3 linked regions of the Xenopus tropicalis genome follow. The protein of the gene in region 2 interacts with the protein of the main gene of each other region in a pairwise test. Links are inferred from orthologs where the notes say so. Each region holds a gene or a part of one and is shown on either strand. Other genes may lie near its edges.

Evidence for each region. The genes of interacting proteins can lie anywhere in the genome.
Region 1: the proteins of tsc22d1 (region 2) and ccdc90b interact in a two-hybrid assay, tested with the Homo sapiens proteins (2 studies listed by BioGRID and IntAct). The link is inferred for Xenopus tropicalis from reciprocal best matches to the Homo sapiens genes TSC22D1 and CCDC90B.
Region 3: the proteins of tsc22d1 (region 2) and aplp1 interact in a two-hybrid assay, tested with the Homo sapiens proteins (2 studies listed by BioGRID and IntAct). The link is inferred for Xenopus tropicalis from reciprocal best matches to the Homo sapiens genes TSC22D1 and APLP1.

The regions. Positions count from the first base shown.
Region 1 is NC_030678.2:170,735,478-170,739,636, forward strand, and holds the start of ccdc90b (coiled-coil domain-containing protein 90B, mitochondrial), read right to left. Parts: upstream 2,812-4,159; 5' UTR 2,736-2,811; coding exon 2,600-2,735; intron 912-2,599; coding exon 789-911; intron 1-788.
Region 2 is NC_030678.2:133,681,765-133,685,857, forward strand, and holds the start of tsc22d1 (TSC22 domain family protein 1), read right to left. Parts: upstream 2,812-4,093; 5' UTR 2,798-2,811; coding exon 51-2,797; intron 1-50. UniProt on the Homo sapiens protein: Transcriptional repressor. Acts on the C-type natriuretic peptide (CNP) promoter. Acts to promote CASP3-mediated apoptosis.
Region 3 is NC_030683.2:128,757,412-128,761,658, reverse strand, and holds the start of aplp1 (amyloid-like protein 1), read right to left. Parts: upstream 2,812-4,247; 5' UTR 2,557-2,811; coding exon 2,488-2,556; intron 1-2,487. UniProt on the Homo sapiens protein: May play a role in postsynaptic function. The C-terminal gamma-secretase processed fragment, ALID1, activates transcription activation through APBB1 (Fe65) binding. Couples to JIP signal transduction through C-terminal binding.

The sequences.
Region 1 (4,159 bases), about 37 Mb from region 2:
TCCCTTGGGGGCACATTTATTATAGTGTCTAAGTCAATATCACAAATTATGTTGGCCATAGCCACCAATCAGATCTTTGCCTTTGTTTAACTTGTAGTTAACCTGAATTTGAATTGCTGATTGGTTGCTATGGGCAACTTCACCAGTGCTGTTGGCTTAAACACCATAATGTGTTCCTTATAGGGTTCCCTCCTGTCCGGTTTTGACCCGGATAGCATGGTTTTTGGAATGGCTGCCTGTGTCAAAACCTCCTGCCTGGTTTCCCTGATTAGGAAAACTGGGCAGGACTCAGTAACATTGACGCGGTGATTGGGCAATCGCCTAGTCACAGCCCTGCCTCCTTCCCCACTCTGCGATGTCACGGCCCTGCCTCTTCCCCGCCCTGCAACATCATGACCCCGCCTCTTCCCCACCCCTATGACATCACCCCCGCCCCCTTGCCCAGCTTTCTTAGCCGGCAGAGCTTAGCCGGCAACCCTAGTCCCTTAACTGTACAATAACACACACATGCAGACTCACACTCAGTCTCTCAGACACAAGCAGATTTAGACTTCCCCCATATTACTGAACTTACTGAGATCTCAAACACCATTATGGGGGCCTGGGGCAATGGTCCGTGCCCTGTTTGAGGGAATGTGCCCCCCTTGCCCCTTACCGTGGGTGCCTATATATTCAGCTGATTGGCACTATATGTATCCTCCTCCACAGTGATCATCCCCCCCGCCCCCATGTACCCTTAGCCGGGCAGTTCAGAGAATAAGAGCCATCAGAAGAGGTTTGGGACTCACCGTGGGTCTCCAGCTCCCTCACTAAGGCATGGGTATCAAACGTCAGCTTCCTCTGCTCCAGCGGCGTAATCTCCACTTGTCTCACATCGTACCCGGCGGGAAGCGCTGCCGAGGTGGCAAACCCTAGGGAAACAGAGGGAGCTAAGGTCACACAGAGCCATAATCACCTGCATAATTCTGTGCTATTATATAGCATCTTATATATCTATTTAGCTTTCACATAGGAATCATGTGAAATAAAGACTGCCAAACTAGACTTTTTTTTGCTAAATGCTTTGTTTAAAATATAATGTACATAATGTATTCTTATGTACAAATATACATATATAAAAAGGAATTCTAGCAGTGACTGTGTATACAGCAGACCCTGTGGTCGCGGGGGGGCCCATACTGCGGGGTCTGCTGTACCCTAGTTTCCCTCCCCGGCCCTTCTACTACCTTTACAGTAATATGGGCTGTGCTAGGAGGTGCGGCGCGACAGGGCCGGGAGGGAAGGGACTGGTCGCTCTGGGCCCCCCTGCAGCAAAATCTTCTAAGGGGGCCCAGCGTGACCATTCTCGCTGAATTCTAGATTATTTATAAAACATTACCATAGCTCTGGAAGCCACAGGGCTCTGTTCAGAAGGGACTGAGGCTGTTCTATGAACCCCAGCACCCAGCAATAAACACAGGCTTGTCCAGCTGGAAGCCAGGGGGCTGAATGAGGCCCCCCAAAGGGATTTTCATATCCCTGAGTCATCTCTAGAGCTACACAGACCTCTTAATTCAATTTGGCCCTGGAACACATGGGTACGATGTATAAAGCGCAGCCAATCCCACCCCCCCAGATTCATCCTACAAGCTCTGAAGTTGGGGGTCGGTTTCATTCCAGATTCTCTTTCAGCCTCCATTGCCATCAGAGCATTACCCAAGGCACTTCCTTATCCAACAGGGCCCCAGGGGCCACAGGAAACAGACCCAATCTAAGGCCATTGTAATAAACAGAGACCGGCCCAGTAGCTGTTGCACCCCCAGGCCGCACATTTTCCATATAAAGATGGAGCAGACCTAACTGATACACTTGCCGCATTCATTTTCCTATTAAAGGACAAGTCAACCCCCAAAAGTTTTTGCCTAGTAAAAGAAAAGATAATTCTAAGCAACTTTCCAATACGAATTTATTATACATTTTCAGTGCTTTAAAAGTTATTTGTAAATGTAATTGCTACTGAAAGCAGCATTGGCTGAACTGGTTGTTACTTTTTAAACAATGTTGCAAAGGTCGGTCTCCCCCAGCGAGTCAGGTCTGTCAGGCTGCTGCCTTGTGTTACATTGTTTCATATGCCGGAGCCCCCAGGGCAGGGAATAGGAAAGGACAGACAAACACTGCTTCTAATAGCAATTATAAATACAAATAACTCAAAAACCATTGCAAACTTGTAATGAACGTATATTAAGTCGCTTAGAATTTTGTTTTCTTTTATTAAGCAAAAACTTATATTCTGGGTTGACTTGTCCTTTAAAATAGAGGACATGCAGTTTACAGTGTGTACAAGTATATTGGAAGCTGGCTGCTGTATGTGCTGCTTTATACAGCAGCATACAAAGGGATATTGTTCCAGGCAATCTGTACAGTTGCAATACACTATATAGCAACACACAAATACACACACTCTAAGGGCATCCCAGTGCAGTAACCCATAGCAACCAAAGACTTGCACTATGATCAAATGTAACTGCTGGCTGGTTGCTATGGGTTACTGCACACCTATGTATCTAACTCCCTGCCACATTGTACCCATGCTGTACCATAATATTTAATACATTGTTACCTTTCTTCCAAGTCCTGTGCGCTGTCCCCTTGTGTCCCTGGGAAGGGTGCAGCTGGAGCTTTTTTCCCTGGAAAAGGTGCAAGTGGAGCCTATTGCCCTGGAGGGACAGATGCCTATAAAGCTGGCTGCCCTTCATCTCATACACTACCTGCTACTACTGAGCAGCATTGAGCAATCTCATTCTACTTCCTGGTTGGCAACTTCCTGTCTGGTGGAAATGCATGATGGGGAATGTAGTTTTTCTGGGTAGCTTCATTGTTCTAATGTAATTGCTCTGTGCATGATGACATTCCCCAGGAATTCTGACTCACGCCATAGCTGAATACTCTCCCTAATTCCGGAGACTTCTTTTCTCTCTCTCCGCCCCAGAATAGGCCCAAGGTTTTTAAAATTGACCAACTGCAAAGCAGTATTTCAGAGTTCCTGTGGCAATTAATGGTTTCTTTTTCTCAGCATGTTGTGAATAATGAAGAGAGTTTTATAAAGGGGATGAAACTCACTATGCACATTATCCCAGTGTTTCTGCCCACAACAGCAGGGGGTAGCCATTAGCCATATTCACTGGCATAGGGCTGGCACTATTATTATTTAGAGTCAAACACACTGGAATACTGTTAAAGGGGACCTGTCACCCTAAGAAATAATTCCATATCCTTTTGAATCAGGCTAGTACAAGTATGGAACCCCTTATCCGGAAACCAGTTATCCAGAAAGAAAGGCCATCTCCCATAGACTCCATTATAAGCAAATAATTCTTACTTTTAAAAATTATTTCCTTTTTCTCTGTAATAATAAAACAGTACCTGTACTTGATCCCAACTAAGATATAATTACCCCTTATTGGGGGCAGAACAGCCCTATTGGGTTTAATGGTTAAATGATTCCCTTTTCTCTGTAATAATAAAACAGTACCTGTACTTGATCCCAACTAAGATATAATTACCCCTTATTGGGGCAGAACAGCCCTATTGGGTTTATTTAATGGTTAAATGATTCCCTTTTCTCTGTAATAATAAAACAGTACCTGTACTTGATCCCAACTAAGATATAATTACCCCTTATTGGGGCAGAACAGCCCTATTGGGTTTATTTCATGGTTAAATGATTCCCTTTTCTCTGTAATAATAAAACAGTACCTGTACTTGATCCCAACTAAGATATAATTACCCCTTATTGGGGCAGAACAGCCCTATTGGGTTTATTTAATGGTTAAATGATTCCCTTTTCTCTGTAATAATAAAACAGTACCTGTACTTGATCCCAACTAAGATATAATTACCCCTTATTGGGGTAGAACAGCCCTATTGGGTTTATTTAAATAACACCAAAAAATGAAAGTGTATAAAAGTAACTAAAATATAATGTGCTGCTGCCCTGCACTGGTAAAAGTTGTGTGTTTACTTCAGAAAGCCTACTATAATTTATATAAATAAGCTGCTGTGTAGCCATGGAGGCAGCCATTCAAAGGAGAAAAGGCACAGGCACATAGCAGATAACAGATAAAACACTATTGTATTCTACAGAGCTTATCTGTTATCTGCTATGTAACCTGTGCCTTTT
Region 2 (4,093 bases):
GACTCAAAGTGATAACAACCCAAACCTTTTAACTTTCTATTTCAACTTACCTTTCATCTTCACCATCAACAAGAGGTGTTGATAGAGGAAGAGATTTCAGTGGAAGCAAGGACCCAGAGACTGGAAGACCACCGCTACCTTCTGAAGAAGCTCCTTCGCCAACAGTGGATATGCCAGCTACTGAATGCTCCATTATACGTCTGGCATCTTCTATCTGGCTTGCCACAGACTGAATAAGAGATGGTGCAACAAACTGGCCTGAACTCTGTGTCAACTGTAGTGGTAAGCTTTGAGCAACTGGTAAATTTGCGATCACAGGTGCTTGGTTACTACTTTGACCCAAATTCCCATTTTGCGCTGCTGAAGCTTGTGAAACTGTTGGTGGTGGACCCAAAGTTGTTGCCGTTGGAGGTAAAGCGGAAGGTATACTTGTACTTAGTTGCTGAACAGTCGGAACACTAGCTGCAGCTAGCAGAGGACTTACAGCAGGTACCTGTTGGTTTGACATGCCTTGTACAGGAGGGTCAATAAGCTGACTTTGAGGCTTTGCAGGAAGCAGTGTACTCTGAGGTGCAATAATGACTTGTTGAGGAATTCCAGGAGGACCAACCTGTATTCCTTGTGGTGGAGGCAATACCTGGGAAGAAGGAGCTGGAACACTCTGTTGTATTATAGATGTTGCAACTTGAGGGGTAGCTGCTTGATGCACTGTAGCAGGAAGGTTACCTTGTGGATTAACACCTAACATCTGACCTGTTGCTGCAATTGATGCCGGGGGGTGTGCCACAGGCTGAGTTTGAGCAACTGCTGCTGGAGCTTGTGCTGTTGAAGACTGAATCTGGGTTTGCATGGCATGTGTTTGGGCAACAGGGACAGCTGCAGTATTAACAACTGTAGAACTGGTTTGCATTGGGGGAATGGCTGTTTGTATTATTTGTGGATGCTGAATGTATTCCGGCAAATTCCCTGGAACAGAACTTTGATTTACTGGTACATGTCCAGAGGTCATCTGGGCAGAGGCAGTCTGTTGATGCGTGTATTGTAACTGTTGTGGAACAGCTGGGAGACTTTGTATGGGCTGAGTCTGTTGAGTGTATGGCAATTGTTGTGGGATCAAAGTAGAAACACTTGGCTGCTGATGTCCCAAAGAGGATGGCACACCAAGTATATTAACTGATGCTGGCTGGACACCAGCAGAAGCATTCAATGGAGCTTGAGCAGGCTGCCCTGCTAGTTTCTGAGGAGAAAAGTTGGCATCTTGTGAATGCATCTGTAACTGAGCAAGCTGGGGCTGGGAAATACTCTGTGGCATACTGGGGGCAGGAATAGTCTGAGCTATTGCGTTACTCAAGTCCATCTGCGGAGGACCTAGACCTTGAAATCCTGGCTGCTGTACGGAAGGCGTCCCCATTTCTCCACTACCAACACTTTCCGTATAATGGCTCAAAGTGCTGATGTTGCTACTAACTGAGCTTCCACTAGTGCTCTCTCTTTCAGACATTACTTCAAGTGGGTTTTGTTTAATGCTCTCTACGGCTTTGTTGATTGCAGCTCCTTCTGTTGCAGCTGCTACATTATCTTTGTCATAAAATTCCATACACGTCCATCTGCCTTTTTTAAAAGGTTCAGAACTAGAGTCTAATTTTACAACTCTAAATCTAGATGTTGCTGCACCTGAAGCAACCGCCTGATGTTGTGCTGCATTCTGTCCAATTGCTGACGCAGCAGCAGCACCAGAAACATTGTTCATGATACCAGAAGTAGCACTGCTACCATTACCAGTAGTGCCTTGTGACTGCAGATTAAGGCTGCCAGGTAAAGTGCCTACATTACTTGTACTTGTGACAGAACTTTGATTTATATTTACACCACTAGGCAAAGAACCTGTTACACCACTCAGACTTGAAATATTTGCATTAGTTGGTGCACTAGTATTACCTGAAGCAGGAGTAATGCCAGTACTTACAGGTCCACTTGTTTTACCTGCAATTGGTGGTATAGATCCAGCAGGCTGATGAGAAACAGAAGGAGCAGCAACAGGCACTGCTGTAACAGCACTATCAGAACTGCCTTGTGCAGGCAGTTTCACTGAAGCAGGAGTTGGGGGTAACCCTCCGGGAATGGCTGCATTGGGTAATCCATGTTGGGAAGGATGGCTATGTCCATGGTGATGAAGGTGGTGATGATGTATACTTCCATTAATCATGATATTCTGCTGTACATTCTGTGGCAGATGATGCTGGGGGAGGTGTGGTTGGTTAGGAGAGACAGCACCAGGTGTCTCAGCTTCCTGGAAGTTATTCAAAGTCTCTTCTGATGAACTTCTTTCTGGACCCCCAAGGTCTGTGGCTCTAGATAAAGACACATCCAATATTTCAGAAGATGACAAATCCTCGGTGTGAGACTCATCCAGATCGTCATAGCTCTCGGTATCTTCAGCAATGCTATTGTTGGAGCTCATGCTGGCTGAGATTTGAGCAGAAGTTACACTGGTGATCTGAAAGCCGCTTTTCTTCTTGATCTGGGCGCCGCTCTGCACAAGTGGCTGGGGCAGTAAATTCAGTGTTTGGGGAGGATGCTGCTGGGGTCCAGGAGATGAAGCTGCGGCGGGAGGCGGAGGCTGCACCAACAGAGGAGGGTAATCATCTGAAGACAGGACGTGGCCGGCGAGCCCTGGCCCTACTGCTCCATGCAGCGCAGCCGAGCTGCCACCAGTCCCACTACCCCTTCTGGGCAGATCTGCCGGGTGCGCCATCTTCCTGGCAGCAAGATCTGCGGCTGGATCAGGCTGGTGCATTTTAATTCCCCTCCTCTAACCCCTTAGCCCACCCACATCCACTCCTCCAAACGTGCAAGATGTGCCTCCCTCACTAAGGGGGATCGGGGCTCTCCTGCTGAGATCAAACAGCTGCAGCCCTGTTCGCTCTATATGTATCTATGTATGTTATAGAGACACACACGGGCAGATGGACGTCACCCACTCCTCTGCGCACTAGCCAGATACATGTAATGCGGTGCCACTTCCCCGGCCGCCTCCCACTCCGCTCTTAATCACAATGATCAAACGCCTTCCCTTTAATGACACTCCTCCATATCAATCCTCAGGGGGCAGTGGCAGCACAAATAGTTTCCCAGGATCCGGGCGCCGGGTACGGCAGATGACAGGACAGCCGCGGTTATCTTGTTCGTTGTCGGTAGTGCGTCCGGTCAAAGATCTGGAAACGTCGGCAACAAGCTGAGCGGCAAAAGAAGAGGCCATCACTGACAGCCTTCAGCAGGCATCGTGCCCGGGGCCCGGCAGCGGCCCAATCCGTATAGCAGGGGCCGAACGCTAGCCGTATAGGGATGCGCTAGCTGGCAACGGCTGCTTTCAGTTCGGCTACTCCAAAATCACCCTTCCGGCACGGAAAAGGGGGGCGAGTGGAAGCCGAAGCAGTAGCTGGGAGCGACCGGCTGTTAATAAGCTCCCCTCTTAGTGTCTCTTTCCCCCCGTGACTCTGCCTTTCTTTTCTCTAGCAGTGCCTCTCGGCTCAGGCTCCCTGTTACACAGCGCCTGTCCCTCCCTCCTCCTCTTTAATCTCACACGGCATTGGAGGACAGCTGCTGGGAGCCGGGCAGGCAGCTTGTCAAAGGGGCGGAGAACTGCATTGACGGGAGGAAGTATGGGAAAATGGCCGCCGCGCATGCGCGCCTGCTACTTTGTGGAACGCTGATAAAAAAGAACTGAGCAACTGGGCAAGTGGGGAGGGGAGAATGGGGGCGGGGCCTGGTGATGACGCAGTAGGCTGTACGATTGGTGGCGGAAGGTTCCGAGGAGTGTAGGGCGAGGGTTTCGGCAGTGGTGACGTTAATGCAGGACTGGGGAAGACGTGTCCAGTGTGTATGTGGGACCGGCTGAGTGCATGTGGCTGGGAAGCTATTGTGCTGTGCCCTAGCCACGTGGCCGCATTGTCTGCCAATGGAGTCGAGTAGTCATAGAAAGAAAATGTGGCTGGGCAGGTAGTCCTGTCAGGAGAAGCTTTCCTCTTGCACCTGTTGTGTCCCTGGTGGGCTTCCGTGCCTCAGTTCTTTCTTTCCTAAGTGTTACACATGG
Region 3 (4,247 bases), on a different chromosome or scaffold from region 2:
AGACAGTAGGGCAAGATGGAGACAGTAGGACAAGATGGAGACAGTAGGACAAAATGGAGACAGTAGAACAAGATAGAGACAGTAGAACAAGATAGAGACAGTAGGGCAAGATGGAGACAGTAGGCCAAGATGGAGACAGTAGGGCAAGATGGAGACAGTAGAACAAGATGGAGACAGTAGGACAAGATGGAGACAGTAGGGCAAGATGGAGACAGTAGGACAAGATGGAGACAGTAGGGCAAGATGGAGACAGTAGAACAAGATGGGGACAGTAGGCCAAGATGGAGACATTAGGGCAAGATGGAGACAGTAGAACAAGATGGAGACAGTAGGGAAAAATGGAGACAGTAGGGCAAGATGGAGACAGTAGAACAAGATGGAGACAGTAGGACAAGATGGAGACAGTAGGGCAAGATAAAGACAGTCGAGCAAGATGGAGACAGTAGAACAAGATGAAGACAGTCGGGCAAGATGGAAACAGTAGAACAAGATGGAGACAATAAAACAAGATGCAGACAGTAGGGAAAGATGCAGACAGTAGGACAAGATGGAGACAGTAGGGCAAGATGGAGACAGTAGAGCAAGATGGAGACAGTAAAACAAGATGGAGATAGTAGGGAAAGATGGAGACAGTAGGACAAGATGGAGACAGTAGGGCAAGATGGAGACAGTAGGGCAAGATGGAGACAGTAGAGCAAGATGGAGACAGTAAAACAAGATGGAGATAGTAGGGAAAGATGGAGACAGTAGGACAAGATGGAGACAGTAGGGCAAGATGGAGACAGTAGGGCAAGATGGAGACAGTAGGGCAAGATGGAGACAGTAGAGCAAGATGGAGACAGTAGGACAAGATGGAGACAGTAGAGCAAGATGGAGACAGTAGGGCAAGATGGAGACAGTAGGGCAAGATGGAGACAGTAGAGCAAGATGGAGACAGTAGGGCAAGATGGAGACAGTAGGACAAGATGGAGACAGTAGGGCAAGATGGAGACAGTAGGGCAAGATGGAGACAGTAGGGCAAGATGGAGACAGTAGAGCAAGATGGAGACAGTAGGGCAAGATGGAGACAGTAGGAAAAGATGTCAAGATGGAAACAGTAGGGCAAGATGGAGACAGTAGGGCAAGATGGAGACAGTAGGGCAAGATGGAGACAGTAGAGCAAGATGGAGACAGTAGGACAAGATGGAGACAGTAGAGCAAGATGGAGACAGTAGGGCAAGATGGAGACAGTAGGACAAGATGGAGACAGTAGGGCAAGATGGAGACAGTAGGGCAAGATGGAGACAGTAGGGCAAGATGGAGACAGTAGGGCAAGATGGAGACAGTAGGGGAAGATGGAGACAGTAGGGGAAGATAAGGAATGAAGGCAAGGTGGTGGGTAGGGTAAGACTGGGCCGGTAACACTGTGTGACAGTAACCGTGGTGCCAACCTGTAGCCCTTCAGTTGTTGTTGAAGTGGCAGAAATCACATAGTTACACAACAGTGGGTGAGCAGAAGGTTGGGCCGTATTATTGTGTATAAATAATGGGGGAGACCTATTGTGCCATGGGACCTACTACCCTGAATCAGACCTGGCAACCAGCATTCCCTTGTGCCCAGAGGTGCCATTGGCCCCTGGCCCGTAGCTTTAGAAATCCAGATACATTTTTTGTTACTAACAGGTAAGTGGGCACCACTGCACCAACCCCTTCCGACCAATCAGCAATTACACTTACACTATATCTGTCGACTGCAGGCTGACACCTCTAATTGGTTGCTACGGGTTACTGCATTGGTGCAGTTTTGCCCATTGTTAATAAATGTGTATTTCTATGTATGTGGGGGCTGGAGGGCCACGGACTGATCTCCCCCCATTTTACCTTCCAACTGGCGGCCACCTTGACCCTTTAGATTGTGAGCTCCTGAGTCCAGTATTTTGCATGTCGCTTTTACAGAAGCCTACACGCTTTAGCACCACCCGGCGAGGTAGGGTGTCCCTCTAGACTGTAAGCTCTTGAGACAAGCCTTGTATGCTGCACAACCCTATGGGCTATGGGTTTATGATTATGGATTATTGATTATTATGGATATCGGTGTCATATGAAGAAAACAACATTAACCCCATGCAGGACCCTTCAATCTATATTGGATCCCCCCCTCCCAGCCCCCCCAGCCCTAGCACAACTGCCCCTGCTGATGCCCCATCCGCCCCCGCTTCCAGATCAATACCTACTCCCTGCGCACCCATCACACGTGAATTAACCCCTTCGCTGCCACATGAAGCGTTGGGTTGGTGGGGGCAATTCATCACAATAACCCCCCCTGCCAAGCCAATAGAAACATGACCTGAATCCTTCCATGCTGCCCCCCCCCCCGTGCCACTATAGAGAGGGGCTCCACCCAGTCCAGCTGTGCCCACTGTCTGCACCTTTCCTTTCACCCCTTGCCCTTAGGCAACGTCGCCCACCCAGCACCCACCCCAATATGGCCCTGTAGAGCCCCCTCACCTGAGCACCCAGCAGAAGGAGGCAGCTGGCAGGCAGAAGGCTGGACTTTAGTCTCTCGGATGCACCCATGGTTCCTTCTCCTGGGGGAGTGATGCTGATGGAGCAGGGAGGACCAGTGCCGCTGAGGATGTGCCTGTGGCACCCTAGGGTGGCTCGCCCTGTGTGTGGGTCTCTGGGTGTCACGGAGGCAGTGGGTACATGTGTGGCTGCCAGTGGCACTGGGTATCTCTATGGGTCTGTTCCTCACAAGCCTCGTTCTGCTATACAAAGACGTGTCCCATCCCCCTCCTCATCTGTCTCTCTCTCCCTCTCTCTCTCTCTCTCTCTCTCTCTCCTCCCCTCTGTCTCTTTCTATCTCTCCTCCCCTCTGTCTCTCTATCCCTTTCTCCTCCTCCCTCTCCTCCCAGCATCCAATCTCCTTCTACGGACATTTCTATCATTCTCCACCAAACCAGAAGGAAATGGCATGAAATATTCAGGAGCCGAGCGACAGACGGAGACAGGGGAAAGTGTTGGAAGGGTTACTGCCTGCCCTGCTCTCATTTCCCTACAGAAATAGGGGTTGGTAGCACTAGGTAGGTACCTAATATATAGGGGCAGAGACAGGGGAAAGTGTTGGAAGGGTTACTGCCTGCCCTGCTCTCATTTCCCTACAGAAATAGGGGTTGGTAGCACTAGGTAGGTACCTAATATATAGGGACAGAGACAGGGGAAAGTGTTGGAAGGGTTACTGCCTGCCCTGCTCTCATTTCCCTACAGAAATAGGGGTTGGTAGCACTAGGTAGGTACCTAATATATAGGGACAGAGACAGGGGAAAGTGTTGGAAGGGTTACTGCCTGCTCTGCTCTCATTTCCCTACAGAAATAGGGGTTGGTAGCACTAGGTAGGTACCTAATATATAGGGACAGAGACAGGGGAAAGTGTTGGAAGGGTTACTGCCTGCTCTGCTCTCATTTCCCTACAGAAATAGGGGTTGGTAGCACTAGGTAGGTACCTAATATATAGGGACAGAGACAGGGGAAAGTGTTGGAAGGGTTACTGCCTGCTCTGCTCTCATTTCCCTACAGAAATAGGGGTTGGTAGCACTAGGTAGGTACCTAATATATAGGGACAGAGACAGGGGAAAGTGTTGGAAGGGTTACTGCCTGCCCTGCTCTCATTTCCCTACAGAAATAGGGGTTGGTAGCACTAGGTAGGTACCTAATATATAGGGACAGAGACAGGGGAAAGTGTTGGAAGGGTTACTGCCTGCTCTGCTCTCATTTCCCTACAGAAATAGGGGTTGGTAGCACTAGGTAGGTACCTAATATATAGGGGCAGAGACAGGGGAAAGTGTTGGAAGGGTTACTGCCTGCCCTGCTCTCATTTCCCTACAGAAATAGGGGTTGGTAGCACTAGGTAGGTACCTAATATATAGGGGCAGAGACAGGGGAAAGTGTTGGAAGGGTTACTGCCTGCTCTGCTCTCATTTCCCTACAGAAATAGGAGTTGGTAGCACTAGGTAGGTACCTAATATATAGGGCAGAGACAGGGGAAAGTGTTGGAAGGGTTACTGCCTGCCCCTGCTCTCATTTCCCTACAGAAATAGGGGTTTGTAGCACTAGGTAGGTACCTAATATATAGGGGCAGAGACAGGGGAAAGTGTTGGAAGGGTTACTGCCTGCCCTGCTCTCATTTCCCTACAGAAATAGGGGTTGGTAGCACTAGGTAGGTACCTAATATATAGGGGCAGAGACAGGGGAAAGTGTTGGAAGGGTTA